Linked DNA regions of Drosophila melanogaster. The gene in region 1 interacts genetically with each later gene. Each region holds a gene or a part of one and is shown in the gene's direction. Other genes may lie near its edges. The genes, in order: Sb, br and Drak.

Region 1 (8,269 bases):
CCACCGTTACAGTATCAGCAGCGGGGTGTCTACTCATGCAACATTGCAATTAATTAAATTTTATTTTTAAATAATTGTTTTTAATTAAATTTTAAGAGATTTGCGCAAATTCATGCAACACCCCAGCGGCCAGCGAAGATGGACAGGTGGGTGGTTGTGGTTGCCGGCGTTGCTGGTGCATCTGCCTCGTGATCATGCAATCATTGAATCATTCACGTATGAGTGATGTTGTCTGCTCACTGCAGCAGACTGCCGTCGCTTTTTGGCCAAGATGTGTTGCAGTCGATGTGCACAGCTTCCCAGGAGTCAGAGGTCAATGGAATTCGCGCTTTCCCGCTGGCGGGTGCATTCAACTGCATTTCGGCTTTGGATGATATAACCGGGAGTGACAGCTGGATAGCCGTACAGCGAAACCATCCCATCCCATACCATACCATCCAATCCCATCCCATACGATCCCATCCCATTGCGGCACTAATTGGAGCATACGAGTGCCAGTCAGCGAGCCAGTGCAGCGCAGCAGTGATCCCATTTTCAAATTTTCAGCATCCAACTAGCCGTTTGGGTTGGCCCAAAATGTGACTGAACTCATACATAAACATCAGCCCGCCGCGTCCAGTGGCGTCCAGTGCCAAGTTGGGAGTTGGGTTTTTTGGGCCCGGCTTTCGGGTTGCGTGCCAAGTGCGATGATCTTGCGGTGAAATTTTGTGCTCAGCCGGCTAAATTGGTCAGTGAGCTCTGAAATGCTGAAATGCAAGGCATAAAATCACTTGGCTCGCAATGTGGGCTTGATTAAAAGGCAATGTCCAAACATCCACATCCCCAATCACGTTCGCAAAATGTTTTCGCTTTTGGGTAGCGGGAGAAAGGTTGAAATATCACTCCAGCTCCATGTCCCAGTATCACCTGCAACACTCGCTGCGATGGGACAGCCTCCAGTCCCTTGGCCAACTTTCCCTTCCTGTTCTCGGCTGTTCTCGCAGCCACAGCCGGGCCATCAACATTTGGCCAATTTAAAGTGGCATCAATTATTGCGAACCCATTCATTAACCGACCAGTTATCCCTCATTCCGTGATCGCTTATCGCAGCCCATCCATATCCCTAACCCAATCCCGATCCAAACAGATCCCCACCTCCCAATCCGACACATTTCCAGTCTTGTGAGAATCGGGGTCACGCATGAAGCTGCGGACGTGGAAAGTCTGGAGGATGGGGCCCGGTTGACGGCAGCCGGACCGCGGGAGATTAAAGACCCCGATGGGGGTACTCGGTGCCGAGTTATGGCCAAGACAAAGTTACTGCAATGATGCTTAATGGCAAGTACTTAAGGCGGAATTTGCACTGTATTAAGGATAATATTGATGGGTGGGGTTGATTCAAAGCTGAAATCAAACGAAATGGCTTACATTAAATGGTGGGCTATTAAAAGCCAAGACTGTGTTAGGTTCCGTCCTGGTATTATTAGCTAGCCCATAGATAAGGCCTGCTTATTATTTTAAAGGCGTAATGACAGGAAAAAGGTTAATTCAATGAACTTAACAGCGTATGGTAGTCCGCATATGGTGAGGTATGTATATATTAAGAAAACCATAGAGATTAAATAAACGATTTGCAAATTAGAGATAAGAAACTGAAATTCAAATAAATTAACTACAAATACATTGCGAAATCTTTAATCCACACCCACTGCTATAAATTACTCAATAGGTTAATCCGACCACGGCCAACACAACGTCCCATCAAAATATTTCCCGGAAAGATCTCCATCAGCCTATCAACGGGTTCATAAATTTTCCACCCGCTCCCGTGGACCACTAACTCCAGAGTTAGCGACAAATTTATTCAGATTGTTTCTGTAGCCATTTACTGTCGTCCAAGAGAGGCAGCAAGTGGAGCCTGAGGAGGAGCATCACTTGGCCACCCATGTACGCAGTTCAACGCCAGATTCGCCCGGGCTGAAAGAGAAAATTTATTGTGTTAGCAGCGGCACGAGTTTGCATCTGCTATTGCCGTTGCTGCTGCTGCTGCAGCCTTTGTTGCAACTAGCTACTGATGTTGTTGTTGTTTCTGCTTTTTGGCACTTGGCGTTGTCCCCTTTTCGCCTCTGAGTGCTGCAGAATTTGTGACACGACCTTTAACGAGATTTTTCCTCTCCACTTGGCGCATCATCACGCGACTTTCCAGCTGCAGTCGCTTGCCGATTTGTTGCAACACATGTTGCAGAAGCCGCCAACAGCAAAGCAACAGCAAACATTTGTTGGGGAATTAGCAAGCGACAGACAGCGAAGCGACTCCAGTCGGGAGTTTGGCGTTTTTAGCTTGGAGTTTGGGGGTATGGAGTATGGGTTTTTGTGCGACTGTCGACTTCGGCTTCGGTTCGATGAGGAGGCCGGGGAGCATCATCAACGTCAGATGCACCTCCTGCTCCGTCTGAGTCGCATCCTCCTCCATCTCGGTATCCCTGCTGGCTGCATCTGCTGCTTCTGCTTCTGCTTCTGCCTCTGCCATTGCATGCACATTGAATTCCAATTGGGTTTGGCAGAGTGGCGCAAACTTAATTGTCAAGGTTCGTTAGTTCTTTTTCCTTTGCAGCATTTGCAGCTCTTAGACGTCTTCTGCTAATGTTCGTTTCTAATGGTCGGTTTGAGTTACGGCTATGCCACATCCAAGACTCAGACCCAGACTCTAACCGAGATGGAGACCCCGTCGAAGTGGCGGCTAAGGAATTCTCAATATTTCCATTACTTTGTGGCCATCGTCTGGGATTTGCTGCGTTTTTAGCGGAATTTGAGCTCTCTGTCGCCTCTCTTTCGGCCAACTATTTAATTCACATTGGTGGAAACTCGATTGTGCTGCTGCCCCGTTGCTCTTGCCCATGCCCCTGCCCCTGCCACTGCTCCACCTGCTCCATCTGCAACACAGCCATGCAACCACACAAAATGAGCAGCACCGCAGAACGTTGCTTTTCTTCCACACTTTGTTGTGCGCTACATGGAGGTATTTTGGGCTCCTCGGTTTTCTAAGAGCTTCCATAAATAATGTCAACGGAGGATCAACACAAAGTATTGGAGTTATGACGTGGATGGAATTCATTCAGGTTTTCCTTTGTGAATTATTGCGAAGGAGGCCTTAATCTGCTGTTTGAATCATTTGCGGGGCCAATTGAGCTTCCTGTATAAGTTACTACTTTATAAAGTAGAAAAAAAGGACATAATAAATTGCTGAAAATTTTAAATACTTTTGCATTATTATCTCTAAAATAATTAAAGAAGCATTCTAAGATTTCTATGAGATCTCTAAATTCTTCCTCCAAATGCAGACAATAGCAACTGTTACCCGAGATCTTCCGTATGCGATCTTAAGTTTTCCATCACTTCTTGAATAGGGTGGTCTGGTCCCCCCACTCAAGCGCCACTTTCTTTGGGACCTTTTAGATTGATCTTGAATTCAGACGGGTTTCTCCAGTTTCTTTTGTCTTACGCAAGCGATATTCATTTTGTGGCTCCGGGAAAGCTATTGATTCATTGGGAAGACCCAAGATCTATTGACTGCCCGCCTTGTAGAGCATTTCTCCGGACGGCCACAGCCCAAGCCATAAATTCTGCACACAGTTCGGTTTGGCTTAGTTTTTTTTTTTTTATTGTTTTTTGTGTTTGTATCATTCTGTTTCTGTTTCTGTCTTATTTATTTGGTGAGTAAAACGCGACTCGGTTTGGGAATGCAGTTCGCTGCCGACGCGGACGCCGCCGTCGACTTCGACGTCAGCGCCTTCTCCACTTGACTTTAAGTTGAAATGCGTCCGATCAATGGCGATCGAGTTAGTTTTGTTAAGATCTCGTCCAGGCGAAGAGTTAAGTGCAGCCGGCCGGTACTCGAACTCGTACTCGTATATCTCGGCAGCATCTCCACCCAGTACGAAGATATATCTGAGTCAGTTCAGTTCTACGTGTGCGTGTGTGCGAAGGATCCCAAGCAGGATGCGAATGTCGCGATCGCTAACGGTTCTCCAGCGGCTCTTTTAGCCACGTTCGGGTCTTTCTGTCTTCGCTCAAAGGCCTGTAAGTCCGCAAGTCTGGATGTCTGGATGTCTGGATGTCTGGAAGTGTGCTAATGTGATAAGCCGCTTTAACCGCAAACTGCCTTTGGCTGCCACTCTCAGCCTCAGCTTGGAGTTCACTCTGGGCCAACTTTGGCGGCCCCACCTGGCGATCAGATTTTTGGTATGTATTTGGATGCCAGCTCTGCGGTTCTTCAGTTTGCAAAGCTGCAATCAATCATAGTTTTCGGTTAGGTGTTTCATACATATATGCAAATCTATTCTTTTGAGGCTACAAAAGTTCTATTATAACATTTTGGCATACAAAAAAGAGGAACCAATTTCGTCATGATAGGTGCTTAGTTTCACTTATAAAAGAGTTCATACTTAAGGTTTATGTTTGCTGAAATAAAAGAGTGATTATCCCTGAGAATGCTGTATGTGAATTGTAGGCATATAATTCATTCCTCGAAAAATACGTAATTACAGGGCAGTTGCTTCCGTTCGGAATGTCTTTCGCCTGCTGCTTTTATGGGAAGTTTGGCCATGCACTTCGGGTATCTGCAGTCACCACCATCGTCACTCACATTTCTGGCGACCCCGTGACAGTGTTGATGTACCATTCTATCCTATCCTATCCGATCCCATCCCATACTTTCGCGGTACGCATATTTAAAGCCCGATATCAATCTTTCGCCGGAATGAGCAATGACACTTAATGGCATTTCGTTCCTCCGGCTTCCCGTCCCGGCCAAAGTTCCAGCTCCAACTTTTATGGCCAACTTCCCCGTGCACGGTGCATGGCGCAGGTTTCAGGCCTCAGCCAAGACAGCCACGACATTGCCTTGTTAAGTGTTAACGTTAAGTGCCTTGTTACTTAATTCGCCTCTCTTTTATCTCCTCGTACATTTTTACCCGCTCTAATTCCATGTGTGAGAGCGCGGGGGGTGGGCAGTGGCATTGCCGCTGTGGCAGCAAAAAAACAAAAGCATCAAAAGCAACAAAAAATGCTCTTACTCTGCGATGATCTTAAAATGTACCCTTTCTACGGGTATAATTACCAATCGGCTGGCAGTGCAATTTTAAAATGCAAAAACCATCTCCAACACGTTGGGCCATCTTCAAACATTTTGAAGTGTTTTCACAAAATCAGAAAACCAAAAATTTTCTTTTCATCAATGATATTATGTGAGTAAATAAAGGTATATATCAAATATATATACAAGTGTCAAAAATATCAACAAGGGTTCACATGTTGGTTGAAGTATCTTCCGCTTCGGCTACCCAATTTGAGTAGATTCGCAAAGTCGCACTGAGTGCCAGAGAAGATCTGCACCATTATCACACGCGACATTAAGTGCAGCCATAATGTAAGCGAGCATTTTCTTTAATTTACAGTTAATTGAGTCTTACGGGGTAATTATGCAAGAAGCCGGATTCGTTTTCCATCCCCACCGCTCTCTTAATTGTGGCCATCCCCATATCACTGTCCCTGTCCTCGGGCAGTTAGTTGGCAAGCGTAAATCAATCAAAGTGTTTTAGTTTGGGCCTTAATTAAGGCTTGCGGGGTCATTAAGCCTCGTTGCGTGCGAGTCCATTGGCAGTGGAGGACACCCTACACCGTCCTTCATCCTTACCCCTTTGCTCTCTGTGAGGCAAAAGGGGCGGTCGCAGGTGTCCGGCCACAAACCCACTTGTTGCGCCAGCACCTCTCGTTGAGGGGAATCTGCACCACCGCCAGCAGCAGCGGCGCAAACAAATTGCACTGATGCGATAAGCCCAGCTCCACTGACAATAAACGAGTGCCCAATCAATCTTGGACGGGCGGCCGCGGAAGCCACACGCAAACGTGCTGCTGCCCAGCGACAGTGGGGCCTCGAGAAGGAGGATCTTAAAAGGGATTTGATAGAACAGGTGAAGTTAGATAGGGAATGTAAATGTTTGTCCCAGGGGAATCTCACTGAAGAATCAGAACTATTTTTATTACTCATACGCAGCGTTGGCTAATCCTACTTCCTATTTTGTGTATTTTGTTGAGTAATTGGGAATCCAACTAGTTTAATTAATTTTTTTTTTAATTAGCTAGTAGTTCAAAGTAATTCTTATTCTTTTATATGATCATCAAATATTTCTTACAACCGATCAATAATAATTTGAGCAATCAGTGATCCTTCCCGATCGTTCTCACTGTGCCGCAGGTGAAGTGCGTCGAGATCTGTGGATGGCAGAGGCTCCCGGCGACTTGGGCGTTGCAGCGGTAACCGCTGGCTTCCTTTCCTCAGCCGCAATCGAAGCTGCGGCAAGTGTCTGTGGAACCGTTAGCAGTCATTAGCAATGGAATCAATTGGCGGCCCATATCCAAGTGGCCAGTGGTTAGCCGTAATAAAGGTGGCTAGGGTGGTGGATGCAGCTAGATAAAGCCACTGGCACACAGGAAGTTCAAACCGATAGTGTTAGCTGTCCATTGATGGATGATTTTATATACGATTTGATTTGCAAACCACTGCCTTCTTCCACTTTGCGGTAGGAAACCAAGATGAAAATGTCGGAATGTTTTCAATGCGATGCGGTATAAGTTGCCTTGTCAGCAGTTTTTACTACTTTTACATTCGACATTAGTAACACCTTTTTCTTATTACAAATACATTTACCATTAGGCACCTTACATAGGAGGCTTCTTTGAAACCCTTGCATCTAATCAGATCTTATACCTATCTGCGTTATATGGCGTTGTATCCTTCAGGCCCTCATTATCTCCGATCGGCAGCTTCTATCAACCTTTCTGCTGTTCCATTTTGCCATAGTTCCCCTCCTCCTAAGAGGGCTGCGCCCCATCTCCGATTACCCAAGCTAATACCCACACAGAGCGAGATCCACTTGGCACTTAGCTATCATTCCATTCCGCACTCTCACTCCAGGGGCAATCAGGTAGCTCGTTTTGGTAGCTCAGGCTCCTCTACGAACGCTGATTATCTTCAGGAGCGGCTGGAGGAGCACTCAAAATCTTTGCCTAGAACTGGGGAAATGATTTGGCAAACGAATTGAGCTGAAAGGAAATTGCGTGCAATAAAATATAGATATGTTTGGGTACCGACTATCAGCCGTTGATCATCAGAAGGAATGGAGAGCACCAGGTACACGTAAAAGTATTGGCATACGCTCGGCTCATCTTGGCCAAATTGGTAGCCACGACTATGACATACCCTAGTAGAGGTAACTTCGGGACAAATATTTTAAATGCTTCTGTAACAACAAATGATTCCCAAAACAGCGCTTTCTCTTGTGTATATATATACATGGAGTCAATAATTGTGCAAACAATTTATTTTTATATGCATGCTAGTACAAGGTATTAGATTTTTCGATACCGCCCAACTACCGTCTTTCTTGTTTTCTTTTCTGTGCTGGCAAATGACTCAATAGTAGCTGCTGGTGGAACTAGTTCTGTTGCACGCACTCGTCACGAATCTAATGTAATTCTCAATTACGAAACGAGTTATGCCACAAATTAACCGGGGAGAGAGATGGCGATAGAATTTGCGCGACTGGGAGTGCTTGGCTAACTGGACTTTGTGGCCAAAAGTCCATGCTAACAAGCTGGCCGCCAGTAATTCGCAACCGAAACCGAGCCAGAAAAGGGCGTCAACATTGGGGCGCCACCCCAAATTAGGAGCACCTGTTTGTGGCAGCAAGGGGGATTGGGGGCGGGGGGTAGGCAACTGAGAATGGGGCACAGACAAAGGTGTTTCGCTGTTATTAATTAACAACAATTCGATTTGTGGCCACACTTCGGGGCACAACCCAACTGGCCGGCCATATGCAACTGGTCCAAGACGCGACTTGGACTTGGTTGGCCTGGCCTGGTCGCTCGTGTGGTGGTCAACCAGGCACCAAACTGCAAACAGCAAACACGTTTCCGCGGAACGAGTTCGAGTGGCGATCCGCGATCCGCGATCCATGGAGCAACATGCCTCCAGACCCGTTCCACCCTTTATGTTCTTCACCGCAACGACGATGAGGAAGCATCCGTTAAACTGCGCTGTGGGCCATTGTCCAACTTAGCCCGCTTAGCATTGGGTCAACCGCGAGTGGTTTTCGCTGGGAAATGGGACCACGCATGGCCCAGACAAAATACAACGGACCATGTAACATGGACCACAGACTGCTGCGAACCACTAAAGTCCACGGCGAGTCCACTCGACAAGTGGCGACACCGATACGGACGCGATCCT
Region 2 (8,024 bases), on another chromosome or scaffold:
GTGCAGGCGGCGGATGGTCAGCGAAACGTAGCACAGCATTCGGCGCTACCTATTTGGTATCCGTCATCAGTAATCAGTAATCCGTAATCCGTTATCCTTGCCCTGCCAATCGCTTCTGTGTGCGTGAGTGCGTTTGTGTGTGTGTCAGCGCGCTTGTAATGACTTCAATTGTGTGCTAAACTTTCTATTCCACGGTCGCGCAGCTCCAGCAGCATCAGCTTGGGCACCAAAACAAAGCTCCGTCGGCGGGCGTCGCTGCCTTCGTATTGCGGCGACTTCGGGAGTCCTTCGGCTGGCTTCGGCGGCGCTTCGGCTGCTCCTTGCCAGGTCCTGCCGCTACTGGCGCTGCCGGTCCTGCTGCCGCTCTGCCGCAGCCGGCGTCGCTGCCAGCGGCCCTGGCCGTTGCGATTGCGACTTGGACTTGAATCGAGTTGGGTTTTAAAAATAACGTTAGTTGCTGTTTGTTGCTCGTTACGTGCGCGTGTTGCGACGCGAACCAAAACCCAAATCAGCCACCAGCGGAAACGGAAATTGAAACTGAAACTGAAACCCAACTGACGTCCCAGCTCAGCTCGACTCTAATCGGATGCCAAGACACAAACTCAGCACAGCTCAAAGATAACTGAGTGCGTGTGTATTGTTCTGTCGTGTAGTTTGTTTTTTTTTGCAAGTGATTGTTAATGCGGCAAGGACAGCATCTCGGGATTTTAGGCATTTCCACCGTTTCCACCGCGCCGATTGTTGATTGTTTTCTTTTTGTTTGGTGTACCGCAGAGATGACAAGTTGTGCAATAAATCAAATCTAGAATCTAATCGAGGTGAAGGCCAGTCAAGAAAATAGGAACACCCAAAAATCAAGTGATAAACCAGTCGATCCGGGGACGAATCAAAATACTATCAAATGCAATCTGAACCAACCGATAGAGTAGCGAGCAACCGCAACAAAAACCCTGACAAACTGTCCCAGTAAAAGTGAGAGTGTGTGGCGTGCGGAGTTCCAGGATCTCAGCCAGAGTCGGATCACCCACCGGAATCCAGAGCAGCTCTAGGGGATCCCATGCACCTGACTCAGCCGAAAATTCAGACATGTAAGTGTGCTCATTTTAGTGGATTCGGTATTTATTGTGGCAGTACATGTACTGCTGCTTAATCTGAAAGTACGGATGCAGGTTGGATTTTTCCATCAAAGGGTCTTTGTTTATGTATTGATCAATTCCACCACCAATGTGCTTCCCTTCCAAATCATATTCGAAACCAGTGTTTCGCGGTATATCCCATTTTCTGGTACATATATAATATATATACGTAGATAACCAAATATTTGTACGCTGAATTCAATGCTAAGCATTTAAAAACACCTCGAGTTTTCATATATGTATATATATTCCAATCGATGGCAAACTTGTACGATACATCATATAGTTGGCATTGCCAATGGTATCCTATGGTATTTGTAATTTTCACGAAGAGGAAGCTAGGAAAATATTGTATGCCGATATTGTTTACGACCTCGTGCACTTGACTATCTTCGTGTGCCAGATACGGGATCTTTCCCAAACCCATTATTTAGATTTGCTGCACTTCCTCCGCGCTCTGATCGCACATTCCCCAGTCATTTCGGATTCGTATTCGTATTCGCATTCGCATTCGTATTTTGTATTTTGTATTCCGAAATGGCACTGGATCGACTGGATCGCGGGCGTTGAACTTGATCAAAGCGCTTCTCGTGTAAACACTGGTGTTTCACGGCTGGCGAGGGCAGTCTCTAATTCTCACTCTCTCTCTCGCTCGCGCCCCATCTATATCGCTGGCGGTTCCGTCGTTGACCTCCTCGCGTATTACGTATACGCCCGATATGCAGGCGAAGAGAGATCGACGTCGGCGGATGGAGATGGCCAGTGCGTGAGCGGGAGCGAGTGACTGCGGGTGACTAACCCACTGCAGTTTCAATTAGAACAAACGACATCGACAAGTTCAATGTGATCATTTCGCCTTCGCAGTCGCTGTTTTCTGCCTTCTGCCTTCGACGTCGGCGTCTACGCCGTCAGGTTGTTGTCGAGGTTGTTGGCTGCCTGCGACTCCGTTTGCGCCGCCTAGAGGTTAATGCCGGTTGTAATTGCAAAGCACCCAACCCGAAACCGGAGACCCAACAAAGGAGCGGAGCTTAGAGCGACTACAGTGGTCCCTGCCCGCGCGACTCGCCTCTTTCTGGCTAATCTGTGACTCGGTGACATTTGCGATGATCTTGAAACAACCATAAACCGAACGAGACGCAGCAATAAAGGCATTATGGGTACGTAGGTAATGTTGTGTATATGGTACGTGTAGATACATTTATACGTTTATGAATCGGCAAGAGGTCACTGCAGACAGGGAAACCTTAACAAAACAACACTCAAGACAATTCTTGAAAAATGCTAACGTGAGTGCGAGACCAGCAGAATTAAAAAACCAAAATCGCCACGCATGAATCTAAAAAATAAAAAAACCAAAAACAGCTCATAAAAATATCGGCGACAACAACAAGGGGATGCAGCAGTAAAATAAAAACGCTGCAAAAACAATTAAATTCGGACAAAAAAAAAAACTGGCAAACAAGATGCAAGTGGCAACAAGTTTCTCAGACTCAGTCGCTCAGTTTCTCCTCAGGGCCAGCAAATCTTCGCTCTGCAGTCTTCGGTCTTAAGTCTTTGTGCGTGCCAGGAGGTGGGGCGGGGGAGCAGGGAAATGGGAATCTGGGTTATGGCAAACAGGGGAGCCATGTAATAAAATGCGGTAATGGTAATGGTAATGGTAACCAAAATATTAAACAACTCTTCACCAACATCAGCAGAAAATGCAATTCCAAAGGGTGACGCAAGGGAGGGAAGGCAGGGGAAGGCCCTAAAAACAGGCCGACTTTGGATTTGGGTTTGCGTTTGGGATGGGGCTCGAAATGTGGGCTACACTTTCAATTGGAACCCTCTGTGGGGGTATGGTGGGAAGGGGGTACAGGCGGGTCGTGAAATCGGGCAATTCCGAGCCGAAGACGCACGACGATATTCTGCCTAAAAAAAAAAACGCTCCGATCGCCGCCGACTTTGTGTGCGTATGTACCGCTTTCTGTATCTTTGGAGTTACATAGGGGGAAAGTTGCATATTCCCCTACCCGTTCCCATTCCCCTTACCCCTCTCGCTCCATATCACTCTATTTACAATTTGCCGCTGCCGATCTGCGGATCTGCCCCAAACATTCGCGTTTGTAATTGCATCGGTGTGTGGGCGGCGCTCGTTGATTCGTTCGCTCGCCGACGACTTTGCATTTCATTTCCCCCAATTTTGTCGGCCTGACAATGAATAAACAAAACTTCTAAATGGGCAATACCAGAAAACACAACAGAATATACGGACAGCAGAAAAAAAAATAATAAAAAAACCACAACCACACACATGGAACCCCCGAAAAAAACGCAATTTTCGCTTGCTCGGCTTCGCCGCCGTCGCATGCGCAGAAAATTTGCTCGTTTTTTTGGCGACTGCGCTGCAGGCAGCGCTGTAAACTGCAGCGATCGGATCGAGTTGATCGCAGAACGCAGATCGCAGATCGCAGATCGCACTGCTGCCGCTGCCGCCGCCGTCGACGTCGCTGCACTCCAAAAAAGCGAAGGAAACACACAATCGCACACGAGAAGTATATAACAAAAAAGCGAGCAAATAAGGCAAAAAGTAAAAAGTAAAAAGCAAGAAGCGAAAAAAGCGAATGAAACATACAGGCGGCATAAGTATATACACACACACACATATATATCACAAACACTGGTGCACAGCGAATTCTCTGATTCAATTGGGCAGACGCACACACTCGCGCACACACCAATACACACGCACACTGGCAGAGGGCAGCGGCACAAGCCCAACACATTTAACTGCATTTTTTCGGAACTCAGTTGAGCTTTTTAATTCGATCGGTTCAGTTACTAAAGTTAGTTCAGCCTAAACGCACAATTTCAATTTCCATTTCTAAGTTTGAGCCCGAATTGAATAGCATTAGTGCCCACCCCACGCCTACCCTCGCACCACCGCACCAACGCACCACAGCAGTATCCAACACACACACGAGGACTGGACAATTCCCTCTGTTCTATTTTTTTGTGTTTTTTGTCAAGTGCACCCAAGCAAAGACCAAAGGACGCAAACCATCTAGTGCGCGATTCGCGCGCGTTTTGAATCAAAAGAATCTAAGAATCCAAGAATAGCTAAATCACTGAATCGCAGAATCAGGAGCGGAAAAAGCGAAAGCCAACCCCAAAAACCCAAAGCCCCAAAAGTTCAAGTGAATAATCAGTGTGCATCCCCAAGTAGTCGACCCAATGAAGCGCCGCCATGAGCAAGGATGCACCTACTGAGCGCAACTACAACCGCACCATCCAGGTAAGGGTTTCCTACATCCCATCCGACCCCATCCGCTTTGCTTTGTAGGGCAAACCGAACGTGCTGGAAGCTCCTTGATCTAGGGGCAGAGGGAGCCTAGCATCCAGATCTATATCGACATACACACACACACACATCCATATTCTCACACACGGTTGCAGGTACAGATACACACTGAAATTTGATTCGGATTCGTGGCCCGATCCATAAGAAGGACATTTGAGTCATCCGATGCAGCTGCCTGCTCTCTCCCTCTCTGCCTTTGGGCTCGGCTCTCCTCATTAGCACTTTGATGAAGAGTCACAAAAGCGGACGGACCGGGCCTAGACCCCTCCCTTCGAACTGTCCAAAAATTTCGGTGCATCTGCATACAAAGGCACACAAAGACGCACAGAGTGTACGGATACAGATACAGATACAGATGCAGCTACATATACATATACAGATACAGACACATATACTGTTACAGATACAGATGCACTGCAGGAAGCAGGGCAGCACAGTAGCCTCAGTCGCCTCTTTCAGCCCCGTTTCAGCTTCTCCACCCCTGGACTCTGCGCTGCATTGTTCCACTTCTACACTTCCACACTTCCCCACTTCCCCACTTCCCCACTTGTCCGCTACCCGCCACTCCTCGCTTTTTCGGCTGCAGTCTGTCAGTCAGACTGAGGCTTCGTGAAGCTCACGGCCAAGGCGAAGGCAGCTGAGGATCTGCACTCGGCCGAACACGAAGGCCGGTTGGGCAGGGTTCGGGAACGATCGAAAGCCAGCCCGAAACGGCGGAACTGCAGTTTGCTGTTCAGCGTCGCACTGAGCAAACGTCGTGTGGCAGCTCATCGCCAATTGCGAATTGCAAACTGCAAACTGAGTACCGTAAATCGCTCGCGCAAAGTGCAAGTCGCGCTGAATTCGCAAGTTCACATAATATCGGCATCCGCATATCCGCATATCTGTATATCTGCACATCCGCAAGCAGCTTGCTTCCACGCCAATTTTGTTTTCGTTGCGTTTATATTTTTTTTTCTGTTGATGTTTCTCGTTATATACATAGTATCCTTTTAGCAACCCACTCAGGCTTTTGCTGATTCTATTTCGATCGCAATCGGTCTCAGGAATCAATCTCAGGATTAGCTCTACGGCAGGTAAGTCACGTGAGGAGCGGTGGTGTTTCTGAAACTTTTGCTTTCAATGGGTTTGCTTCTGGAACTGGGCCAACAGCGAGACTCAAATGGCCAGACAGGCACGCAGTCAAGCGGTTTGGTGACAGGGTCCCCACTACTCCTGCTGCTTCTCCTGCTCCACCCACCGATCTGTAGGAAAGGTGGTAACGCCAGCTTCTTCTTTTTGTTCTCCCAGTTGTTAGGGCGACCCAGACCCAGACCGAGACCCAGACGAGTCACTCAAACGACAACAACACTCCGCCGTCCCCATTTCTATCCCCATCCACAACCATCATCAGCCATTCCCATTCCCCATCTGCAAGCCACAAAGACCGGCACCCATACACTCGCACACTGGCGCACTCACACGGACATGGGCACAGGCACAGTCACAGCAAGGTGACGTAATGGCAACTACTCCACTAACACATTTTTCTGCATTCCTGCAACGCGAGGAAGAGGAGGAAAAGAAGCGGTGGGGGCGGGGTGGGAAAGTCGCGCGACGAGAGAAAAACTGAATGAAAATTGCAGGCAGCCAACGAAGCGTGCCTAGCAAAAAGGAAGAGCGAAAAAAGCATAAAACGACAGAAACTAGAGACGCAGCCAGACTACGCCACAGCCAGAGCCACAGTCAGAGCCAGGAGGGGCTGGGGGTGTGGGGAACACACGTGGGACGTGCTGTGAAGCTCGGGATGCGAATGTGGTGGCTGGTGGCTGTCGGATAGCTGGATGCTAGGAAAACAGAGGCGGCGGAGACAGAGGAGACGGAGGAGATGGAGATGGAGGAGACTCGCCAAAGTGGTGGCCCCGACTAGACGCTGTCTGCGTACTGTGTCTGTGCCTGTGCCTGTGTCAGTGTCTGTGTATTAGGATGTCTGCGTGTGCGTGCTAGCCATCTGTGTGCGACTGGCCGACATTCAAGGTTGTCGGCGCATAACTTGTTGTTGCCGCACTGCAATTGTTGCTGCCACAGATTGTAAATGCTGCAAATGCAGTGCGGCAAGGGCACAAGTGCCCACTCCAGTGCCAGCTTGAGTTCCAGGAAGCTTATGAGTGGAGCAACAGTAAAAGGACATCCGAACCGGGGTAACGGCCTGGGCGACCCACTTGGGGCTAGTGGTAATCAGAGGCTCAGAGACAGAAGCGGGCAGTTAGAGAAACTGCACAACAGACTAGCAACCAGTAGCACTTCCGTTAGCCTTGAAGCCCAATCAACTGGAATCAACTGGAAACTGCGGCCAATTGAGAGCCGCATCGCCACAAGTGGACAAAGCACGCAGACGAGCAGCAGCAGCTCCCCAGAGTTTCAGTTGCCAGCTCTCCACTCACACTCACATGACTCATGTTCTAGCAACGGAGCACTTGTTTGGGTGCAACAGCAGCCACAAATGCATCCGTCGCAGTAACAAATAGGGATCACGATGATGATCATGATGAGCACGATCAGCGTAATGATCGTGTCATTCAAGGCCGCCGCAAATTGCGAGCGGTGAGTCGAGGAGTTGCAAAATAAACACAGAAAACATCAGACACAAACGCGAATGCGAAGAGCCAACAGACGAGGACAGGGACATACAAAGTGCATAGTTATCGCTATAGACATATAGACACATGGACATACATATAGGCGAGTTCCCAAGTTCTCGGAAACGGTTACTCCAAGGCCAAAAGCCGGATAGACAAACAAATGGGACAGGCACAAAGGCTAGGAGATAACTCTTCTCCAGTTTTCCCCTTTTGCCTCTGCCTCTGTCTCTGTCACCCTCGCGTTCTTCGTTCTCCGTTCTCGATTCTCCGCGCTCAATTCTCAATTCTCCTTTCTTCTGCGACCTGCCTCTGCTTCATTCGCGATGTTTCTATTTCTGCCCCGGCACAGGAGACAGCCAATTGAAGATGGAAGACAAGTACGCCAAAGATTTTGAAAATACTTAATCTCAAATTTGGAGTAATTTTTAAAGCATCTTGAAGAAATCATTTCTTACTATTTTATGAGTAGGATTTTTAGTCCTAAAAGTACATACGTCATTTAATTACTTTTGAACAATACATTTCCTTATCCCAGAGCAATTCTCGTTCGGAGTGCACAATTCTTCACTTTGTTTTCTTCTGCACTTAGCACTGCAACTCCCCTTTCTTCTGCTCTGCGCTTTCCCTGCTGCTTCTTCCTGCTCGGCTTGCTCAGTCAGTCAGTTGGTCATGAGTGTCATGTTCATAGTTGTGGGGTACTAGGACGTCACGGGGAATGGGATTGGAAATGGGTAGGGGTATGGTCATGTGTATGGGAATGGGTTGGGCTTCTTCTTCGATGCACTGCCAACGGTCGGATCGCTGGTTAATTTTTTCGTTTATTTCCTGCACTTTCGTTGACAGTTTTGTGTTTTTCACTTGTGCTTCTTGTTCTTCTACTGTGTACTTTTTCAAGCGAAGAGGTTCTCAGCTTTCATTTGAAGTTGG
Region 3 (7,815 bases), on another chromosome or scaffold:
TATTGGAATTACGATTTAATGGCTCCGGCAAGGAGGCCCCGATATGAGATTTCTTTCCCTCTCCGGGTGGAATAATGTCCTTCGTCAAAGTGAAATTCCTTTTCGAGCTTGGAATCATTTTCTCATCTTTGCTACCTTGATTACGCTGGCCTTGCAAATCCAGGACACTCTTATTATTGGAAGTACGATCCACTGGCTCCGGCAAGGAGGCCCCGATATGAGATTTCTTTCCCTCTCCGGGTGGAATATTGTCCTTCGTCAAAAAGAAATTCCTCTTAGAGCTTGGAATCATTTTCTCCTCTTTGCTGGTATCACTGGTGTCCGAGCTTAGAATTGTTAATTCATCTTTGTTGCTATTGACGCCTTGATTACGTTGGCCTAGCAAATCCAGGACACTCTTACTATTGGAATTACGATTCACTGGCTCCGGCAAGGAGGCCCCGATATGAGATTTCTTTCCCTCTCCGGGTGGAATAATGTCCTTCGTCAAAAAGAAATTCCTCTTAGAGCTTGGAATCATTTTCTCCTCTTTGCTGGTATCACTGGTGTCCGAGCTTAGAATTGTTAATTCATCTTTGTTGCTATTGACGCCTTGATTACGTTGGCCTAGCAAATCCAGGACACTCTTATTATTGGAATTACGATTCACTGGCTCCGGCAAGGAGGCCCCGATATGAGATTTCTTTCCCTCTCCGGGTGGAATAATGTCCTTCGTCAAAGTAAAATTCCTTTTCGAGCTTGGAATCATTTTCTTATCTTTGCTGGTAGCACTGCTTTTAAAGTCTGGAATCTTTAATTCATCTTCGCAAGAACTATCACCATCGCTGGTATCACTGGTCTCCGGGCCTGGAGTGAATATATCATCTCCGAATGAACTATAATCATCACTGGAATCACTGCTGTCCGAGCTTGAAATCATCATTTCATCTTTGTTGCTATTGACAGCTACGCCCTGGGCACCGAATCTGCTGCCTTGATTACGCTGGCCTTGCAAGTCCAGGACACTCTTATTATTGAAATTACGATTCACTGGCTCCGGCAAGGAGGCCCCGATATGAGATTTCTTTCCCTCTCCGGGTGGAATAATGTCCTTCGTCAAAGTAAAATTCCATTTTGAGCTTGGAATCAATTTCTCATCTTTGCTGGTAGCACTGCTTTTAAAGTCTGGAATCTTTAATTCATCTTCGCAAGAACTATCACCATCGCTGGTATCACTGGTCTCCGGGCCTGGAGTGAATATATCATCTCCGAATGAACTATAATCATCACTGGAATCACTGCTGTCCGAGCTTGAAATCATCATTTCATCATTGTTGCTATTGACAGCTACGCCCTTACGCTGGCCTTGCAAATTGTCCACATCCACTTCCTCCGGGACACTCAAATTATTGAAATTACGAATCACTGGCTTCGGCGTCGGGCGCTTCCTAGGCTTCTTGGTGGTCACGCTGCCCCCTCGATCGAAAATGACATTCTCCAATGTGAGTCTGCCTTCAGAGACTTGCGGGCAAAATGTCCTTGTCGCGTCCGAATCCAGGCGGACAAGGTTCTTGTCGCCAAGCAGTTTCTTGCTGAAATTCATGGTTATCTTTCCGATATGGCAATGCGAATGATAAAAGTAATTTGGTTTCCTTGTGATGAAATAAGAAATAATATAATATACAAAATTATATAATTTTATCCGCTGTGACGATGTTACCTGGTGAACGACTTTTTTAAAAAGAGAATGTATTCAGGGAATGAGCTCCAAATGTCAACTTTCAGCTGTCAAATCCACACTTTCGAAGTGTAAGGGTTACTTTAAATTGTGGTTGTATCCAATAAAGGGAATTATACAAAATAAAATATTTTGTTTCCACTTGAATAAAAGTCGATGCAATGTGTTAAATATCAGATCTATTATACTGCTCACACATGAACAGGACATTGTATACAAGATAATGTTGTTTGCCTTATAAATAACAATTGTAATTTGTAACACCAAATTATGCGTTAAAACGAAACTACTTCGTTCCTGCTTGTTAAATTTCCACCCAATTTTTTGGGGTTTCTCGCGATCCGATTTTCTATTTTCGCGGTGGCCAAGCATTTTCCCTAGGTCAAAAGCCGGATCTGCTAAACTTGAATGGCTGCCAAGAGGAGTTTTTGGCGAGTTCGTGGCAAGAAAATCCACCGCCCGACCAAAAGAAAAATAAAATCATTTTGTAAAAAAAACCTAAGCAGATCCGGAGACGACAACATTATTAATAGACGGATGCTAAAGGTTTTTGCACTTGGTTTATTTCTGGTGCTCCGCATTCCTGAGATGCCGTCGTGGTGACAAAAATATATGCAACGCACACGAGAAATGCAAACATAACGCATATCCACTGCATATCCCATCCAATCCAATTACACTGAAAGAAATTAGCAAAGTTATGATTTTTAAACAAAGTAGAAATGGCGTGGTGTAAAATAGGTCTATTCCAGAGAGAGGGATTGAAATGTAGAAAAAAAGTTTTCTATATTTAACTATACTTAACTATATATACTTAAACTTTATTTAAGATCTTAGTAATGATTCAGAGTGCACGAGAAATGTGCACTGGCTTGCAAGTGGAGCACACACACCTACACACAAACGGTGGGAAAACAAGGCGGGAAAATTTGCAGGGCGAGAAAAAGCCAGGGAACTGCAAGCAAGCATAAATATAAATATACATTTAAAATTGAGAATCCAATGAAGACGCGAGGTGCCAACTATTTGCGGGCTGTGTTATGCCCACACGCCCCGATAACAGGCGCCACCCAAAACGCACATTGCATCCCAAAAATAATATCTTTATTACGTTTCCACCAAATAACAATAATTGGTAAATTGAAAACACGCTTTGAATCGGCCGCAGTGTGACCATGTGCTTTCCACCAAACTTAACATTGGAAACGTCATATAACTACTTTTGTAAGATGGTGTTCATATAACTGTCTACTTAGTTTCACATTAGTTATTATTACTGAAACGAAATTTAATTTTTACTTTTTCTGCCTTTTCTCAGCTTAAATTATAAACAAAACTGCACTGTTATAAACCTAGTGCTGTTAACAGACTTTCGGTATTTTCTGGTATTTTTCACAGTGCCTAGCGTTAAACGTCCGGCAACAGAGTGACCAGAGACACTGGCAAGAAATACCAGGCCCCAGCAGCAGAGTTATTTTCATGGTGTGCGTTCACTTTAAGCGAACGCGAGTAATTGAAATTTCAATCCGCCAACGAACGGTTCGTGCGCGCTGCTCCGCTGCGAGTTTCTTGTACCTCCGTGCCTCCGCAAAGCGAAACACACAAAAAAAAAGAATAAAGCCTGGCCAAAATCTGCGAGCCGTTTTTTCGCATAAAACCCTTTTTGAAACGAGCAAGCGGAGGAAGAAGAAGAAGAGAAGCTGAGACGGAGTTCTTCGGAGAGAACGGTACTTAACTGGCGAAATACCGAAAATAACAAAAACAAAAACATAACCAGCAGCAACAGCATCACACATACATACACACGCGGGAATTTTTTCGGGCCTCTCTTTGCGCGCGTGTGTCTGTGTGTTGCAGTTGCATAGTTTTTGCTTCTTTACTTCTTTTAATTCATTAGTGTGATTTTTTGTTTTTGCTGTTTTTGGGTTGTACTGGAATCTGGTCTCCTTCTCCCTCCCTGTCGCTCTCCCGCGCGCAACGTATTCCGCTGCATTATATCGAAGCGTGTGTTTTTATCACTAAACTACAATTTTTTTTGGTTCTGTGCAGTTGAGATTCGACCCTCAAAGAAATAACAAGTTACCATTAAAAAAAATAAAAGCCAATCAAACGAAGGATTAAATACAGCCAAAAATCGAAAGAAGATTCGATCTTCAAACACACTACACACACACAAACACCACAATCCCCCCCCACACACACACAAAATGTTCACCGAAAAGGGAATTTTTCCCATTGGCGACGGACTTTTGGATGTGGACGCCGATCGGCTGAAGGGACTCCTCGTCTCATGTCCCGACATCAACGAGATCTACGAAGTGGAACAGACGCCGTTTGCCAGGTGAGTTTTTAGTTTTCTGTTTTGAGTTTCGCGCTATTATTCTCCTTTTCCCTTGCCAAAAATTCAACCGAAAATAAGAAGCACAAAAACAAGATTTTTGCATCTCCACACTGCAAAAAAAAATCAGTTAGAAAGGAAACCATATAGATAATTTAGCTCTTTTGGGGAATTCTGGTCAGAACCATAGATACAGTCCATACCGCAGATATACATATGTAACTAACTATAAAGTTCTAAGCTAGGAGTTTTACTTACTTGTTTTAGGTACTTGAATACCATAAATCTATACATATGTGTATCTTTTCTTGATCGCCTTATTTGTTTTACTAAGCTCGATCGTTTCTTTTTCGTATCATAATATTTTGAAATGTAATCCAAGATAAATATACATGTCTCTATGCATAGTTATGCCAAAAATAACCATATTGAAAATGATCTTCTAAGTTTTTACAACCTAAACATACTTTGCGATCACAATTGAAGGTAACTGCTACAAAATCACACCTAACATCAGTGAATTTATCATCGTTTAATAGATTTGTTTTCCTTGTTTTTGCGAATGCAGCTGCTAAATTCAATAAAAAATAAAAGCGGAATCCAAAAACCACCGAAACAAAGCTAAAAATGTTAAAGAAAGTCAGTGGCGAGTCTGTTTTATTTTTTCTGAAAAACTTCTGCGTCTCAAAACTTGTTTTATTTACTTTTTTCTTCTTTCTTGCGACTTGCCTGTGTGTGTGAGCTTCTACTCAACACACACATGTGAACGGGAGACAAAAAGAGAGTTTTGTGTGGATAACGGCACAGTGGTTTTGTTATGAACATCGAAAGATTCGTAAACAAATACGTATCTATTCAGTACGAATTGGTTTTGAAAATAGCTCTGAATTTGTACGCTTTAAAAATGCGCATTTTTAGATACGAATTTGCTGACAATATGGTCAGTTTCGCGATTGTCCTTATGCACTGTGTGTGTATCAAGAGATTCATTTTATTTACTTACCTGATTTCGTTTCAAGGGTTCTGCCCTTCAGTTAATTATGTGGAATTTTAGATTTGTGCAACAACCACTGTGCACCTCGTTCTGCTTCTTCCTCTTCTTGAGTTTCTTTGCCTGCTTCCCTCTTCCGCATCTACCTCCCTCTCCATTCATCTTCCTCATTCTGCTCCCTGCATTTTCTCCCTTTTTTCTCACTTCTCCAAAGAGCAGCTGTTACCGTTTGCTGGCGAACTGACCCTCATGCACCGTCGTCTCTTTCTACGTCCCTCTCTAGGCCCTCTCTCTCTCACACCATATGGTTGGGACAGCACTATCTCTTTCTGCCAAGCATTGCTCTCCTTGTCTCGAATGCCCTTTGACTATCATTATTTTCAGCTAGATTTGCATTTTGTACCCTTTTTCATCATATACATATACATTTGTATATTTTTTTCGCATTGAGCCGTGTTTTTTTGCCTTATTAGTTTTGCATTTCATCGTTTCTTTAAAGTTCTTCAGAATCCGCCAACCACAACACCCACACCCCCTCTTCGCCCCACGAAGGTCGTTTGCTTTCGAGCGTTCCGTGGTTTCATGCTGCCCGGTACCCCATTTATCATCATATTCCCCCCATTCTTGATAAGCATTCTGTTATCAGCCAAAAAAATTACAAAAAAACGAAACGAAAATTAATAATAAAACGTAAATCCCAATCGATGTTTTTGAGTTTCGTAAGCAGTCAGGCGTATGAAATAAAATTTTTCTGTCACATCTATCGATGGTGGTTCTCAAATCGTAATTCTTATCAGGAAGCCGTTTGTCCGAGGTGTTTGTTGTAAAAACAAAAGCGCAGTGTAAACCACCGTATATGAGATGGAGGAAATATTTGACAAAAGTGGCTTCGAAAATACAAACATTTTTAGAGGCGTACATATCGCATTAATGTGAAATGCGATCGCAACAATTAACTGTAATTTTCTAATTTAGTTGTTTGCCAAAAATTTAATGGATTCAAATTTGTTATAATAAATTCAACTTTCTCGTAAAATGTTATGCTTTGCTATTTGTTGTTTTGCTGATCACTTTGAAGTCTTCAAATTTCTCTATTTTATAACAGATTTGATTTTGCTAATGTGCCTTTATAATAATGTTTTATTTATTTAATACCATTTGGTTTGTATCTTTACACTTATAATGTCATATAATGGTGTTTTCTCCATTCAAGTTGTAAGTTCTTTGGTCCGTAATTTATATTCATTTTATTCTCCCTTGGAATTCCGTTTGCCAAAATTGCCTTATTTAGCAGAACTAAATGTTCTTCTGCAGACGGGTTTAATTTTTCCTTGGCAATAGTGCTCCTTTTTCACCTTTTCTTTTGTTGGCCATTTCGTTTTGGTTTCTCATGATTCTCTGGTTCCGTATTCGCTCAATACCAACTTGTTGCTGCTGCGTTTGCTTTCGTTTCACGTTTTGTCTTCACTTTGTTGAATTCATTCTTATATACATTATACCTTATACTTAATATTTCTTGTTGTGTTTTTTTTTTTTTGGGTCGTTTGCTGCTTTATCAACGCATCATTATTAAACGTTTCGCCGAAGAAATGCCTTCTTTTGGCTACAAAAAAGCTTTAATTTTTTATCAGTCGCAAAAAGATAAGGAAAACGAGGGGCGGAAGGTGATTTAATGGAGGGGAACTTTTTTTTTTGTACCGCTCGTTTGCAGTGCCATAAATATCATTAAAATCTTCCGCAGAATTGGGATTTGGCTAAAAGTGTTGCAACAGTAGAGAAAACGGTACAAGTTAAGCTCTAACTTTTGTTGTGACAGATTTACTATTCAATTTAATATAATATAATATAATTAGGCACAGAAAGTGTCTTACATACAAATTGAAATGAAGTTGCTAATCGCGCAACACATGCAATTTATTTAAATTAACCCCCCTATGTCACAATGTTTAACCCTAATGACCGACCAGTGGAATATAAGAAACTTGCCAAAATGGAAACATTTGACAATTGCAAGCCGTCAATCAATGCGAATGGGAAATAATGGTGGGTTGGCGAGGGGGGTTTGGTGTATCGCGGGGGGATTCCTGATTTCTGCAAGTCGAAATGCCAAAAAATATTGGCCAATTGGGCGACGCACATACACAATGTTTCTTATAACTTTTTGAGCTGTGCATAATTCGACTTGGATGGATGGGATGATGATATATGGAAAAATAAAAAATCAACTTGGTGCTGCTGCTGGCTTATGGCCCAATTTATATGGTAAAAAAAAAAAAATTGAAGAAAAAGAAATACAAATTGACAGCGAGACAAATGAAGTTGTGGACACCGGAGTTTCAGATTTGCTAGCTGCTTTTTCAGTTGTCTTTGGCCGTGTTTGCCTGTTAGCCCATTTGGTTGTTGGACTGTTGTGGCTGCCACAAGACTTCACAAAGCCCACTTGACTTCAGCATTGGCACATTGTCCAGTTTTTATTCGTAGCCCGGAGTTTTTGGCCTTTCAATTGGAAATTAGGACGCACATTTTGTGGGCAGTCGAACGCTTGCATAATGGAAATTTTATTCAATTTTTTGTGCAAACTTATAATGTGTGTACATATGAACATATATAATATATATATATATATATATGGTTTTTGCCAGAGAATGCGAATCAATAATAAATAACAATAATTACAATTCAATTGAAGCTCGCACACGAGGAAAGTCACACCTTTGGGAGGCTTTTATATATTTATTTATTTGGATTGAGCTTGGGATACGTGTATAT

What was found.
Region 2: of Sb (region 1) and br, changing one enhances a phenotype caused by changing the other (phenotypic enhancement), as found in Drosophila melanogaster (one study listed by BioGRID).
Region 3: of Sb (region 1) and Drak, changing one enhances a phenotype caused by changing the other (phenotypic enhancement), as found in Drosophila melanogaster (one study listed by BioGRID).

The regions. Positions count from the first base shown.
Region 1 is NT_033777.3:16,112,339-16,120,607, forward strand, and holds the start of Sb (stubble), read left to right. Parts: upstream 1-3,822; 5' UTR 3,823-4,221; intron 4,222-8,269. UniProt on the Drosophila melanogaster protein: Hormone dependent protease required for epithelial morphogenesis, including the formation of bristles, legs, and wings.
Region 2 is NC_004354.4:1,608,394-1,616,417, forward strand, and holds the start of br (broad), read left to right. Parts: upstream 1-3,947; 5' UTR 3,948-4,410; intron 4,411-5,263; exon of another isoform or gene 5,264-5,552; intron 5,553-8,024.
Region 3 is NC_004354.4:11,489,942-11,497,756, forward strand, and holds the start of Drak (Death-associated protein kinase related), read left to right. Parts: upstream 1-3,193; 5' UTR 3,194-3,924; coding exon 3,925-4,058; intron 4,059-7,815. Other genes in the region: CG33235 (uncharacterized protein), read right to left, coding at 1-1,582.